Linked DNA regions of Mus musculus: regions 1, 2, 4 and 5 are each reported to be linked to region 3. Evidence: microRNA targets listed by miRTarBase, many of them from high-throughput screens and not tested one by one. Region 3 holds a microRNA gene; each other region holds the end of a gene's coding sequence.

The links. The annotated mature microRNA mmu-miR-301a-3p reads CAGUGCAAUAGUAUUGUCAAAGC and lies in region 3 at 767-789, shown strand. An mRNA with a match to its seed (bases 2 to 7 or 8) in the 3' UTR can be bound and repressed. Matches are read on the target gene's strand: a 7mer-m8 pairs with bases 2 to 8, a 7mer-A1 pairs with bases 2 to 7 and ends in A, and an 8mer does both.
Region 1: miRTarBase lists Nfia as a target of mmu-miR-301a-3p. The part of its 3' UTR that is shown has no 7-base or 8-base seed match.
Region 2: the mRNA of Acbd5 is a reported target of mmu-miR-301a-3p. Seed matches in the 3' UTR shown: 8mer at 2,630-2,637.
Region 4: the mRNA of Socs5 is a reported target of mmu-miR-301a-3p. Seed matches in the 3' UTR shown: 8mer at 1,669-1,676.
Region 5: the mRNA of Rhod is a reported target of mmu-miR-301a-3p. Seed matches in the 3' UTR shown: 7mer-A1 at 1,361-1,367.

What each region holds. Positions count from the first base shown.
Region 1 is chr4:98,111,021-98,114,092 of GRCm38, reverse strand. Nfia (nuclear factor I/A) reads right to left here. Exons shown (of 11, transcript NM_010905.3): 11 at 1-2,875. The coding sequence ends at 2,858. Among named protein-coding and RNA genes, the nearest start is that of Gm34784, 14 kb to the left of the region's middle.
Region 2 is chr2:23,112,231-23,115,302 of GRCm38, reverse strand. Acbd5 (acyl-Coenzyme A binding domain containing 5) reads right to left here. Exons shown (of 14, transcript NM_001355637.1): 14 at 790-2,798. The coding sequence ends at 2,786. Among named protein-coding and RNA genes, the nearest start is that of Mastl, 42 kb to the left of the region's middle.
Region 3 is chr11:87,112,288-87,115,287 of GRCm38, forward strand. It overlaps Mir301 (microRNA 301), which reads left to right and starts at 717; the gene lies at 717-802. The region is part of intron 1 of Ska2 (spindle and kinetochore associated complex subunit 2); the gene reads left to right.
Region 4 is chr17:87,134,709-87,137,780 of GRCm38, forward strand. Socs5 (suppressor of cytokine signaling 5) reads left to right here. Exons shown (of 3, transcript NM_019654.2): 3 at 1-2,877. The coding sequence ends at 536. Among named protein-coding and RNA genes, the nearest start is that of Socs5, 29 kb to the left of the region's middle.
Region 5 is chr19:4,423,338-4,426,409 of GRCm38, reverse strand. Rhod (ras homolog family member D) reads left to right here. Exons shown (of 5, transcript NM_007485.5): 5 at 154-2,938. The coding sequence ends at 321. Among named protein-coding and RNA genes, the nearest start is that of A930001C03Rik, 14 kb to the left of the region's middle.

The sequences.
Region 1 (3,072 bases), not on the chromosome of region 3:
ATTTTTTTTCCTTAAATAGAGATAACCAGTAAACAATTTTCAGAACTTGGAAGTTTAAAAACGTGCATATAAAAATGGGCATTATGTACTTTTTATTGAATGTGGATTGACTGCCGTCTGCTAAGAAAAGTGGGTGTGGGGGTCTGAAGAGAAAGGAAGTTGTCTTTTTTTTTTCTTTTTCTCTTTTTTTAAGGCTTGCTTGTGAAAGGAACAGTTGTAAAAACAAAATTGCTTGAAGCAGGGTCAGCTTAGTGCTTCACAGTTTGGCTGCTTCTCTAAGAGGAGCCCTTCCTGCGCACGTGCATCACAAACCACAGAAAACACAAAGAGAGACACCTAAAACCCACTGCGTCATGTGCAGCACTGACTTTGGTCAAACAAAAAAAAAAAAAAAAAAAAAAAAAAAAAGAAAGAAAGAAAAATTAATACTTGCTAAGCTTTTCTACATGATATAAGCAGGTATTGCATATTTTCATATATCTGGGGGCGGGGGCAGGAATAAAGGGAGACTCCAAATAAATTGAAAAAAAAAATGCAGCGACATCCCAAATACTGACATTGTAAGCATCTACAGAGCTCAGAATAGCACTGCCACTGACCACACAGGACACTCAAGACTACGCCTGTCTGCGGAACAGCTAACTTTCTATTTAGGTCTAGATGTTGAAACTGACGATGGCTGACATAAAGGTTAACATTTACAGAAAGTGTCTCCGAATGCTTGAGTAGGGAAAAAACCCCTTCAATTGAGGAGCATGTGCAACAATTCCACAAATAATCACTATCCAGGGCAAGGCACATTGATATGGAATTTCTGTTTTCGTGCAAATTAAGGAAAAAAATAAAAACAAAACAACATCGTTTAGGGATGGGGGTGGGGTTAGGTGAGGAGCAAAGTGTCTTCCCAGGAATTTCAGTCACTTGATTGTATAGGACAGTAGTTGAGCCCTTCTGAAGGGCTGAGACAGTTTAAAGGCAAGTGCCTAGAGTGGGGTTACAATATTGTCTTAATGCACTCTACTTTATCCTACATTAGCTATATAAAAATTAGTTACTAACACTAGAACATGCAGAGAGACTTCCTCTGGTCGGCAGGCTTTGCCGACCAGAACACATATATATGTATAGTATAGGAAACCGTGACATTGCATGGGAAGCAAGGGTGCTTCGCTGTCTGGTAGAAAAATCACTTGCATTTTTTTTGTTTGTTTGTTTATTTGTTTCTGCTTTTTTTTCCTTTTTTGATTTTTTTTGTCTTTTTTTTTTTGTCTTTTTTTTCCCTTAAACATAAGATACAAGACATCTGGGGGGGGGGGGCGGGGAGGGTGTGAACTTTTTTTTTTTCCCTAACAAGTACTTTGATCTGAATGGGCACACATAGTTGTGTCCTTATCAGTATTCGTGTTATTTTCCCGTAGCCCAGTTCAGGGTTTGCAAAGGGTCTTTGAAACTTCTGGACAATGTCTGGTACAATGAAGCGTTGGATAACCGATAGATCAGGTGTTGCCATACATGTGTAAAATTTTTCAGAATTGGCATAATTCATTATAGTGATTTCTAGCTTATAAAATTAACAGATACCATGATTTCATTTGAGTTATGTGCTTTGATAACAGAAAATAATTAATTAGCATTTAATGTAGTTAACATATTGTGGTAAAAGCACCATTAGATTTGTATTTTTTTTTTGTATTTTTTTTGTTTTTTTAAATTTTCCTTCGGTTTTTTTTTAAAGGGATACAAGTTTAACAATAAAAAACATAAAAAGCAAAAATAGCTCCCCTTTTTCTTGCAAGGCTGTTTTTTACCCCAATAATTTAGAGTCCTGGGGTGGGAGGACTTGAAAAACAAAAATAGAATTTTCAACAATCTCTATCTTACAAAGATACTTAGCTATCCAATGAAATTGCACTTCACTCAATTCAAAATTCGATTGTTTTGATTCCTGTCAGTTTCTGTCAAAACAGACCATCTTCCCCATTTCCATGTGAATTTTTGTGTCATTGTTGAAATTGTTGAAAAATGTTTTTTTTTAAATGTAAGTGCAGCATTTCAAAACTTAAGAACAAAAAAAACAAAAAAAAACAAAAAAAAAAAAAACAAAAAAACAAAAACCCAACCAAACTGATAGTAGTAGTCTTTGCCGTCTTTTTGGAAATTGCTCTGCAACAGGAGCGGATTCACTGTCCTTGCGGGTTGTGTTATGTATGTAACTGCTGACTGCTGAACCAAACCAAATTAAAAGAAAGATCAACTTAACTGCATTTTTTCCCTAATATGTTACAGAAAAAAAAAAACCAAAAAAACAACCCCCCCCCCAAAAAAAACCATTGCCCTTTGAGTGTCCTGTAAGTTACAGATCTCAGCGATTACAGAAGGTTTCATGCTCCAGGTGTCTCCAGATGCTCAGGGAGGGTCACACACCTGCACGGGCAAATTCAGGAAATACTGGGAAAAGGCCAGGCTCCCAAGTGTTACCACAGGAAGTTCACGAGCGAGGCTCATCCTTCACCAACCACTTCACCTACTGCTCACGCCACCACTGAAACACTTCAAATGTCACACAGCCCAACCATTTCCAGCACCATGAGAAATTACGACAGTCCCTAAAGTATTAAAAAAGAAAAAAAAAAAGAAAAAAAGAAAAAAAGAAAAAAAAAAGAATCCCAAAAAGTTATGGCCTTTGCTGTTTGACCACGATGTTTGCTGTTTCCATGTATAAGTTGATTCGAGTTGGTTTCGCTCCCCTTCCACTGACAGTGAAGTTGTAACTGCGCCGGGTTGAGGTTGCGTCCATGTTACAGAGTTGAGAAGGGGTCAGGTGGTCTGTCTGGAGGATGGTGGGATGCTGCAACTTTTATCCCAGGTACCAGGACTGGAAGACAAAAAGAAAAGTCTAATTAAAATGCAGGTGTAGTGCTGGGTGTAGTGGCTCGTGGGTAGCTCTTGGCTAGTATGAGCAAGGCCCACAGTGATCCAGTGCACAAAAACAAAAAGCATTCAATATTGTAAAACTATTTTGAAAGTTGCTCTTTTAACCATGGGATCAGAATTTACCTTGGGAGTTCATGT
Region 2 (3,072 bases), not on the chromosome of region 3:
AGCCAGATTTTATGGAGGCACTTCCTCATTTGAGGTTCCCTCCTTTCAGGTAACTCTAGCCTGTCAACTTGAGATCAAAATAACCAACTTGAATAGGAAATTAGTTTGCTATCACATTTCCAGCTCATCACCTAATATTCTGCCACCAGATAAAGCACTGTTGTGTAATGGTATTTACTGGGAATAAATAATGTATCATCTAAATTTACACCTGCCAAAAAAACTTAAGAAGAACAATGAGATTTCCCCACAGAAATCAACTCGTCTAAAGAAATAAGAATGCCACCCCCAACACGCCTCTTTCACATAAACATTGTTTGGGCTGAAGGCCATTTGAAATAGCACACACTAGGAAATCATCTCTATCCTTTTGTATATGGGGAGGTATGAATTCTCCTTCACTGAAGACTGCTCTAGTATGAGCCAAGAGACAGCACTTTATTCTATACCTTTCACATTCTCAGCTTCACATCTGTTGAAACTTAAAATGATTCTCTTTTGTCCTTCGTAGGCTGAGGCAAGAGGATTGCTTCAAGTCTAAAGCTAGTCTAAGCTACAGTAAAACCCTCTCTCTCTTGGTTTTCTGTTGTTTGTTCAAGTTATATATAATAATATGCCTTTATTTAGTCTCATGACCTTATCCTTTTGCATGTTACCCGGAATGGAACCTGTGGAATCCTGTGCTTGGGATTTCGGACAGTTGTATCTCCTGCCTGCCATTTAAGATTACTGTATATGAACCACTGTTGCTTCTTGCTTTAGCTTTGTACACAGTCAATACAGTTAGCATTTCATTTCTCATTAACCTTTTATTTTTTAACTTAGTTTTACAATAAACAGAAAAGCTGATCATTAAAAAAATACCATAGCTGTCGATTTCTAAAATGAGGTTCATGTTTTAATGCATTACCACTATATCCTGTAATTACATCCTTTATATACAGGAAATGTGTGCAAAGTGCTTTCAAACTATAAAGTAATTCTGATATATAAGATACAAATGGTTGCCCTTAGGAGTTAGTTACACTTGACTACTTGCAATCAATCACACTGGTTATATCTTTGATTTGCATTCTATTTATATAAGAAAAAAGCCATCACTTTATCATACCAACCTCTTTTGTAATTTAAAACAAAAAAATGTCACAGGTCTAAAGTTTTCTATAATAATTCAGTTATTTGCTTTTTTTTCTTCCTTTTAAAATGTAGAAGATAGATTTGAGGTTTTTTAATCATAAGCAAAAGCCAGTAGATCATTTTAGGCATATCAACCAAGTTGTGATACACAAGTTTAAAATAAAGTTACAGTTTTGAAAAATTTGTAAAGTCTAGGACAAAGAAATTATGTTCTTATACTCTTTTTCCCAAAGAACAACCCTATATTCTGAAGATGGATTCTTTTCTTCTTACTCAAAATATTCAACACGTAATGCTAACGCCCCCAACATCATACAAATCAAGAACAAATTAAAATGTTTTACTCTCTAAAGCTGGCCATGGTGGTACAGGCCTGTGGTCCCAGAAGCTGAAAAGAAGTAGAGACAGGAAACTCAGGTAGTCAAGGTCATCTTCAGCTACATAGAGAATTGGAGGCTGGTAGGAGCTACCAAAACTCTGTCTCAAAAGGAAAAGCAAAAAAGGATTTTCTATGAAGTTTTTAAATTAAATCTTCAAAGAATAAAGTATATTACTGAGCGCAGGTTTGAGAAAGTACACAGGAAGATTATTTTTCAAATACAGTGTTCCGGGATCTAAATTGATCTTCTCTCTGTTTTAATGGCTAGAAGGAACTTAAGTTTCCATTAGTTAGGCATTCCTTAGTTATGTGGACATAGAGACCTGTAGACTGAAAGTACTTCTGATACCTTGTGAAGTATACCCCAAAGGAAAACTGAGGCACTAAGAAGTTAAGAGTCCAGACTGTCGTTTACACTTGCAAAAAAAAGGATTATCATGCTTTTGTTACCTTAGTAAAAACAGTATAAATACGTTTTCATTTTATTGCAAAGCACCCTATGAAGCAGACAGTAGATATCCTCACTTAAAAGAAAAATGATTACAAAGGATTATGTGTGTATGATTGAATTAAAATCTGATTAGCCGTGTCTAGAGTTTGAATACACTTTTACACCTACATTAGGCCTGTTTTTCATCATTTCCATCATCAAGTTAAGTCTGTTCAGTGAATCGTTTGTAAACAGAAGCGCAGTACAAGGACGATGATTTTCTGAGTTCCCTTGAGCAAGCCGGGGAATCAAGCCACTAACTAAAGCCCAGTCTCCTGGAGAGGATTCTTCCGTCCGGTTCCTGCCACGTAGCTGACAGTTCAGTGACTGATGCAAAATCGATTTAACCTCATTTTTAAAAAATCACTTTTGTTTTTGCATTCTTTCTTGTGTTTAATTTAGAAAAGTAAAAAGTATAAATTTTATCTCATAATTGGAGCTATGCCTTAGAAATGCAGCTTATAATTCTTATGGGAAAAATTAGGTGATCATTACTGAACAATAATTAATAATTTAGTCCTTCAAGCTCAAAAAGAGTAAGTCTATGGATGCTACTTAAAATCTAGTTGAGATTGATTTTTCAAGTATCAGCAATATTAGTCTTTAAAATGTTACCATTTGTGTAGTGCAAAGAATATTTATGTATATAAACCAAACTACTGGACAAAAAAGCAACGTAATCATCAAAACTGAGATTTTCTTCTGAATTCCACTTCATTTCCAGTCCGTCTCTTAGGTCGTCCAGGCCCAGCAGTCTTCTTGAGTAAAAAGCCATTTCTTCAATTTAGTTTTCTTTAAAAAGAAAGTAAAAACCAATTTCCTGTAAGTATAAATATAACCTGAATATGAAGCACATTCATACCAAAGAATTGCATGGACAAAACACAGCATTCAAATTTATAATAACACTGTAAAACTACAAATCATTTAAGGTTACTTCATTGTGACTTAACTTGGGGGGGGAGATGCAGGTAGTCGGATTATCAAATGTATTTATTCATAAATAACTGCATACTAGCAAAATCAAAAGAAGGGAAACACACCAACAACATAAACAACCAACAAC
Region 3 (3,000 bases):
TGCTGCCTAAGTGTGTTTGTGTGTGTGCACATGTGTGCATGTGAGTAAATTCTATAGAGATCAACTGGGTATATAGGTTTGAGAGAGGTATATTTCTCTTTTTCTATTGAGATTTATTTTATGAATATGAGTGTTTTGCCTGCATGTTTGTGACGGCACCACATTTGTGCCTGGTGCCTGAGGAAGTCAGAAGAGGGCATTGGATCCTGTGGAACTCTTCATGGATGATTTTGAGCCACCAAGTGTGTGCTAGGACTCGGACCCAAGAACAAATACTCTTAACCACTGAATCCTTTTCATTTGTTTTTTGAAGTAATTACTCAAAGGACTTGTTTTCTATGGTAGGTAACCCAGACGCTTTGGAAAAGGAGTTAACCAACATTACATTTAGGCAAAAAACATAGTTTTTCACATATTTGCCTTAGTAGTAATTACAGCTGATTTTGTTAATATCAATTATAAAGTTTTTATGATGCCCATGTTAGCTACTAAAGGCTCAGGACATATTACAAAATTCCTTTACATCTGTGCATGTTTATGTCTGAATGCTGCTAATTTCAGGTTAGTCAACAAAAACCAATTATCACTTTGGTCCTTTGCCCTTCCAAAAATATACTGGTATAAATGTTTTTAGGTTTTGGATGTCTTCTGACTAAAATGGCAACTCAACTTTAAGGTCTTTGCACACTGAGCCTTGCATTCCTTTCCTGCTCACTCCTGCTAACGGCTGCTCTGACTTTATTGCACTACTGTACTTTACAGCGAGCAGTGCAATAGTATTGTCAAAGCATCCGCGAGCAGGTTGCACACCTTTCCTGGTTCTTGTCTTACATCTTCAGTATTTGTGAAAAGGTTTCTATAACTTTCAGTGTGGAAAACTGTATAATTTTGTTACTATGTATATTTTTTAGAAAGTCATCATTTGAAAAAATATCATTAAATTAACATTTATCATTTCTGTATGGCACTGAAAATTCATTACTGTACGCTGTGAAGTAATGGCCTGTCTAACTGAATAGTACTTTGTAATTTGCTTCTTTTTGTAATAGACTTGAATAGGTTCTGGGAACTCTTCGGTCTTATTATATGAGTTGGTAAGTGATAGTCTCTCATGTCTATTTACTATGGTAATGGTTTACATCTTAGTGTCCATTTTAGTATTATATTAGAAATGCTTAAATTTAACACTTTGGGAGGGGACTAGAGAGATGGTCCAGCAGTTAACACTACAGAGGACCTGAGTTTCCTTCCCGGCACCCACATCTAGTAGCCACTCTCAGCCACTTGTAACTCTAGCTCCAGGCAGTTTCGTGCTGTCTTCTGGTCTCTGCAGGCACACAAATACAAACACACACACTGATACAAACACAGAATAATAAAATCCTTAAAACTTAGAAAGGCTTGATTATTGTAACTATAAAATATAAATCACTTTAAAAAAAACTTTTATTGGCTGTGAATTTCACATCATGCACCCCAGCCCTCCAATTCCACTCATTTTCCCATCCCTTAGTATCGGCTTTCTGCCCTTGCAACTTCCTCCTCAAAACAAAATAAAGATAGAATTAAAAAATCTTGTCATAGAAGCTGGAGTATGTCACATTGTGTCACACAGTATATCCTTTTGTCCATACAGAAGTCATCACTTTTTGGTAATAAGTTTAATGCACATTTTATGTAAGTAAAACTAAAAATGTAAGTGTACACTGATGAGTTTTGGCAAATGTATACATAATGTAACTCCCTCCACTACTAAGATAATAAAACATTTTCATTACATTTCATTTCAAAAGTCTCTGTGTCTGTCTGCAGTCTCCTTCCAAACAGTGCTTTTGTGAACTCTGACTGGGCCAGCACAGTATTTGTTCTTTTAGTTTTGCATTCTTGTACTTACTGTAAGTGCTTTTGCCATCTTGCCTTTGTTGCATGTGTTGATAATTGATTCATTTTTATTGTTGAGTATATTCCATTGTATAAAGTCTGACAAAGTGTTTCTTGGGTTGTTTCCAGGCTTTGCCTGTTATGAATAAATTTGTTGGAAGCATTGTCTTTACGTGGCCATAATTTCTTATTTCTTTTGTGTAAATACTGGGAAATGGGACTATTAGGAGAAGTTGCTAAAATCAACTGGGTGGCGGCATAGCCTTTAATCCCATCACTTGGGAGGTGGGCCGGGGGTGGTGGTGAATCTCTGAGTTTGAGACCTAGTCTGCAGAGTGAGTTTCAGGAACGCATGGCTTGAAAAATCACACCAACACACAAAAGGCAAAAACAGTTTGATAAAATCTTTTCCATAGTCCTCTTAGTGATATTGAATATTTTTCATGTGCTTATTTGCAACTGATATATGTTTTTTAATGTCTTAAAGTCTTCCTGTCCATGCATGGTACATGGTATACGTACATACGTGCATACACAAACTGCAGACACATGCGCACATTTTTTTTTCTCAATCTAATGTCACTAATTTTTTTTTCTTGGAGATTTGTGGTTTGGGGGCTGGAGTGATGGCTCTGGGGTCAAAGACCTTCTTGTTTTCCAGAGGACTGGAGTTTGCTTCTCGGCTCAGCACCCAGGTTGGGCAGTTTAGTTTGTGATTCCAACTTGAGAGGATTGTACACTCTCTTGTGGCCTCTGTGGGTTCCTTTACACACATGGCAAGGCAAACATAGACACACAAACAAACAAATTTAAAAGAAAAATTTTTGGTAAAGTATTTAATATCTTTATGTGTATGTGTGTGCTTGCTTGAGACTGTCCTTCACATGTGTGCAGGAGCTTGTGGAAGCCAGAAGAGGGTACTGGATCTTCTGAAACTCAGAGTTGGTTTTGAGCAATCATGTGGATGCTGAGAATGGAACAAACCTAGATGCTCTGCAAGACTAAGAGCTCTCTTAACCACTGAATTCTCTCTCCAACCCCCAAATGAAAGCTTAACACGATTTAACACAGCCCTGTATAAAACAGCTAATGCATGTGTGTGGTGGTGCACATGCCCCT
Region 4 (3,072 bases), not on the chromosome of region 3:
TTCATACGCAGATCGATTACATACACTGCCTCGTGCCAGATTTGCTTCAGATCACAGGGAATCCCTGTTACTGGGGCGTGATGGACCGATACGAGGCCGAAGCCCTTCTAGAAGGGAAACCGGAAGGCACGTTCTTGCTCAGGGACTCTGCACAGGAGGACTACCTCTTCTCTGTGAGCTTCCGCCGCTACAACAGGTCTCTGCACGCCCGGATCGAGCAGTGGAACCACAACTTCAGCTTCGATGCCCATGACCCCTGCGTGTTTCACTCCTCCACTGTCACGGGGCTTCTCGAACACTATAAAGACCCCAGCTCTTGCATGTTTTTTGAACCGTTGCTAACGATATCACTGAATAGAACTTTCCCTTTCAGCCTGCAGTATATCTGCCGCGCAGTGATCTGCAGATGCACTACGTATGATGGGATTGACGGGCTCCCGCTACCGTCGATGTTACAGGATTTTTTAAAAGAGTATCATTATAAACAAAAAGTTAGGGTTCGCTGGTTAGAACGAGAACCAGTCAAAGCAAAGTAACTCCTGTCCCCAAAGGGCACTAACTAAGTCTGCTCCTCCCGTGCATCAGACTGCACCCATAGGAGGCAGTCAGCTGCTAGGATTTCCCACCCAGAATGGGAGCTTAGTCATTAGCCTCTGCCCTATGGGGTCCGCTGTTCCTCAGACAAAGGTGCCTAGGGACAGCAAGATGGCTTGCAGGTGTTCGGTGGGCTGTGACAACTGAGGGAGGCAACTCTGGGGCATTTGCTATGAAGAATTCTATTTCTTACTGAAGAACAAATTATTAATATTGGATGGGTATTTCAATAGTGTGACTAATGTTTGAAATTATTTTTTCTAAGAATTTTTCTATAACCTTCAGAAAAAGTAGTGATGTTTGTAGTTACTATAAATCAAGCTTTGAAAGTTCAAAACAAACAAGTAAATAAAAGACTACCTTCCTTTTAGAGAAAACAAATGCAAGTTTTCCAGCCACAGGGCATTGTGCACTGTTAATGTGGCTTGTAGTCAGCCTCCTTTTCTCCTCAGAGAAGGAGGCTCTAAAGTAAACCAGGTTTTCCTAGATAGTTTTCTTAACCCTGAGACTCCCAGCTCAGTGGTGGAGTTGGGTAAAAGCCCCAGTGTGCATTTCGGATGAGCACGGTGACCTGAGAGCATGCAGTTGGAGTTTCCAGTGGGGTGTTTTTCTCCAAGTTGACATGTGCAGTCAGTCCTCACATTGTCTCATCAAAGTTGGAACCCTTTCCTGTGCCCTTGACTATGTGAGCCCAGAGGACAGCGAGACTAGGAGATGCCCAGACACATCAGATAGTAGTAACTCCACTGGTTGACGATGCCAAGTTGTGTTAAACTATAATTAATCGTTTGGATGACAGTATTTATCTCTTTGTTGTAAGCTCATAGCCGAATTGCTTAAGTACAATTTATATTATACAGTTTTAGTGCAGTTAATTCTTAACAGAAAACCTGAAGTCTAAATTGCAGATTTAAAAGGTACTGTACACCCATGCTGCCTGTAAATAACTTTACTTGGCACCTTTTGTCACTTAGGATAGGACGTAATACAACTTGAGTGAATGCTTGGGACGTGTTGTCGAGTTCTAGTGTTGCTTCTCGTGTTGGACTGTGTTCCCGGTTCTGTCCTAGCCATTTGCACTACAGTAGCCAAATCCATTCCTGTGTGTTGCCGTGCTCTGTAACTGCTGCCGGGTGCTCCTCGGCCCTCATGCCAGCTGCTGCAGGAGGTTGCTTTCTGTCCCATGGCTATTGCCAGGGCTTCCTGAAAGAAATGCTACATTTGTATGCAACAGTAACCCTTTAACTGCTAAACGTATGTTTCTGCTTGCTGTGCCTTGTTCTGGCTGCTTTTCCGTGCTAATAAAGTATGTTTGGTGTTCTTGTATATCTGCCGTTTTATACATTTGCCACAATTTCTCTTGTACGTGGAATGGTTTGGGGTTTTTAAATAAGCATTGACAACTTATTGTAGTCAATGCAGAGTCACCTACAACCTAATACTGACCTGTCAGAATAAGCTAAATCTAAGTTGAATGTTCTCTAGCTTTTTAACCCTAATCACATTTTGTGAACCAGTGTCTGTAGTCACTGCAAATTAGTGTATAGTTTACAGCAGGACCCAGAGAAGTGAGAAGCTGGTGATTTCTCTGCGCAGTAGGGAGAGGCTGAAACCAGCGGTAACGTTAGCAGATGAGTGTTAGAACATCCAGCCACGCCAGAAACCAGTGACACGGAGTCTGTGTACCAGGACGCCACAGCTCCACTTAGTGGTTTAGGGACCATTTTAATTGAAGATAAATGCCTGAGATGCAGACCTTTAACCAAAGACTTGTTCATGTCAATGCAGAACGGGGATGGAAGGAACTTCGATCTCTCTGTTACTTGTAGTAGATGTCCCTGAGGAACATATACCAAAGTGTCTGAGAACGTCATCCAAACCTACTTTCAAAGCATAATGTGCAATTAAGTTGTTATGACGTAGTTATATTGCATAATTGTTAGGTCTGTTTTCTTGAGCTTACAGTGTACCTGGAAGAGGAACCCCTTGAGGAAAGATAAGTCCATGCTGAGAGCTGGAGGAAGACTATGATCAGGCGATGCTGTGAAGAGAACTTGAAACTCGGAGAGAGCCTTGATGTTTTTATATGCTTGTAGTAAACTGATGTTCTCACTATAGTTTTATAGAAAATATTAATGCTTTTTTGTATTTCAGAACTTTTCCTGTGTAACATGCAAGTTGTTTTAAGTGTAACTATTGAGTTTATGTAAGCATGTGTCCACTGTGCTAAAGGCACTTATGTTTCAGTTTGTGTACAATATAAATATGCAACTTTGGGGTTAATTTTTTTGTTAAAATATTAGTAGCTTACATTTAAAAAAAAAATTCCCCAGCATGGACGTGCAGCGAAGTCTTTTTTTTTCCACTGTGTATTTGCCTGAAGCCCACTGTAGCCTTTTGACTAAATTAGTGTTTTTATGTTTTGGGAGTGGCACATTTTATTCCAAACCAAGGAGTTCTTTAGCGGTTGCCGTGTGC
Region 5 (3,072 bases), not on the chromosome of region 3:
AGATTAGTTGCCCACTGAAGGTGCCCTGGAAAAACCCCACTTCCCACTATTGTCCTCAAGACTACTGACATTGCCAAAAGGGCTGCAGCAAGACCAAATGTGAGTTTCACCCCGCATCCCAAACTCATAGTAGCTCCTACTGCTCTTTGGCAGGGCCACGATATGGCAAGGTCTGTGGGAGCGGTGGCCTATCTTGAGTGTTCAGCTCGGCTCCATGACAACGTGGAAGCCGTCTTCCAGGAAGCAGCAGAAGTGGCTCTCAGCAGTCGCAGACATAACTTTTGGCGGCGGATTACTCAGAATTGTTGCTTGGCCACCTGACTGGCTTGGAACCCACCTTGCCTTCCGGTTTACTCCGCTGCAGAAAGACCCAGAAGCAGAACTTGTACTCTGTTGACTGGGATGGACCTAATCCCTAGGCTGAGCTGGTAGAACCACACATCCATCCACAGATGGGCTCCAATGAGGCCTGGCCCCTGGACCGAGGAATCCTGGATTGAGGAAGAGGGTTCCCAGACCCTTAGCTCTGGAACCATTATAGACTCCTGTGCCCAATCCTGGACCTGCGTCCTGAGCGGGGTCTGTGCGGTCTGTTTGGCGCCACCTTGTGGCTATTCTATTGAGTTATATCTACAGGACCTAGGGTTCCCAAGACCATCTTGCCCGGGCTAATACCCTGCCCCGTCCGTGATCATCCTATTTATCCCATTGCTAAGTGTAACAACTAAAATGGCAGCACTTGCTATTAGTGTCCTGACTCTTCCTTCAAAGCATCTTTACATACTACTAGGTAGGAAAGAGCCCATCCACCTAGACCCTAGGGTGGAACTGCTAGGACCAAACCTGACTTTATCACTTTAAGACCTTGAGGAAGTTCTAGGCCTCAGCCTTTCATCTGTAAAATGGCCAATCAGAAATTACATCAAGCATGAATAAAAGTCATGAGGACTAACACATTCAAAGAGCTTAGCAAGTGCCTTGCATGAAAGGTACACACTCTCATTTGTCTACCATGTTAGTAGACTTCTCCAGAAACAGCACAGTGTCAGGCACACACACACGGAGATAGTGCAGTAATGCTTTCCAGGTGCCACCACATAAACCAAACAACCTAAACTCAATTCCCAGAACCCATATAAAAAGCAAGATGCGAGGTTGGTGAGGTGGCTCAGCAGACAGGGGTTCTTGCCACGACGGCTTGAGTTCCTTGGGACCCATATGGTAGGAGAAAACTGACTCCCACATTTGACCTCTGACTTCCATGTATACCTTGGTATAAACCCACCCAACACATACACAGTAGAACTGAAGTGTAACTTCACTTTTTTTTAAGCTAGAGGCTAGTGATCAAAAGCATTAGTGCACTATCTCCGTGAGTCCTCACACGTGTGTGTGTGTGTGTGTGTGTGTGTGTGTGTGTGTGTGCGTGTGCGCGTGCCACTGGCTTGTCTTCTAAACGATCTAGGTTTGGTTCCCAGCACACATAGGATAGCGCACAGTCACCTGTAGTTTCTGTTCTGTGGGACTCAATGCCCTCTTCTGGCCTCCATAGGCACCAGGCACAAAAAAAAAAACCCAAAAACAAAACCAGGCAAACATACACACCATAAAATCAAGCCAGTGTTGGTGGTGCACACCTTTAATCCCAGTACTTAGGAGGCAGAGGCAGGCAGATTTCTGAGTTCGAGGCCAGCTCAGTCTACAGAGTGAATTCCAGGACAGCCAGGGATAGAGAAACCCTGTCTCAAAAAAAAAAAAAAAAAAAAAAAAAAAGGTGTCAGAGACAAGAAACTCTTCTAATCTCTTGGAAGCTCAAAAGCCTTGATACACACACCCCACATATGGAAACTACAGAAACAAGAGAGACCTGCCTCAACAAGGTGAAAAAAACTGATTCCTGAAAGTTGTCTTCTGACCTCTACATGTGCAATGTGGGGTACACACACACACACACACACACACACACACACACACACACGGTTTCATTAAGGAACCTGCTCATATGCTCATACCCGTGTGGTTGTGGGGTCTGGCAGGCTGATACTTGTAATGCAAATGAGTTGGTGTTGACATCCAGCATTTGAATTTGCAGGGCTGTGGGCTGGAAACTCAGGGTTTTTGGACTGCTAAACTTGAGGCAGAATTCTTCAGGAAGACAAGAGGCCCACACATACTGAGTGCCACCTGCTTTATTCAAAGACTATCAATTTAAAATTCTTTTCTCACATGTTTATTTGTGAGGGCTGTGGGACATGCCATGACACACATGTAGAAGTTAGTGGAAAATCCTCAAGAGTCAGTTTTCTCCTTTCACTATGTGAGTCCCAGAGATCAAACTCAGGCTGTCAGGCTTGGTGGCAAGTGTCTTCATCTACTGAAGGCACTGGCCTCCAAAGTCTAACAATTTAAACATAATCACATCTATTTTTTTTAATAGAAATGAATTTTGCTTTTATTTTTTTAATTTAAAATTTTTGTTTTTGTTTGAAACAGGGTTTCTTTGTGTAGCCCTGGCTGCTCTGAAATTCACTCTATAGCTTACCTGGCTTTTAATTTTAATTATTTTTATGTGTATGAGTGTTTTGCCTGCGTGCATGTCTGTGTACCATGTGCATGAAGACTGTCAGATCCCCTGAGACTGAAGTTACAGACGGTTGTGAGCTGCCGTGTGAGTGTTGGGAATGAACCCAGGTCCTCTGGAAAAGCAGCCAGTGCTCTTAATCACTGAGCCAACTTTCTACACTACACCTGTTTTGTTTTGTTTTGTTTTGTTTTATTCTGTATATGCTTTTTATCAAGTTAATTGTTAACATTGTGTGTATGTGGGCGCATGTTGCCATGACAAAGCTGTGGAAGTTGGGGGTCAATTTTGTGGAATCAGTTTTCTCCTACTTTTATGTGCATTTTAGAGACCAAACTCGGATCATCAGACTTGTAAGGCAAGTGCCTTTCTTTGAGAAGCCATCTCACCGGCTTGAATGTTATTTTCGTATTATTACTGAATTCTACAGGCATGATGTCATGCTCGTGGTCACAAGCACTTGGGAGGCTGAAGCAAGAAGAAAGAGGCAC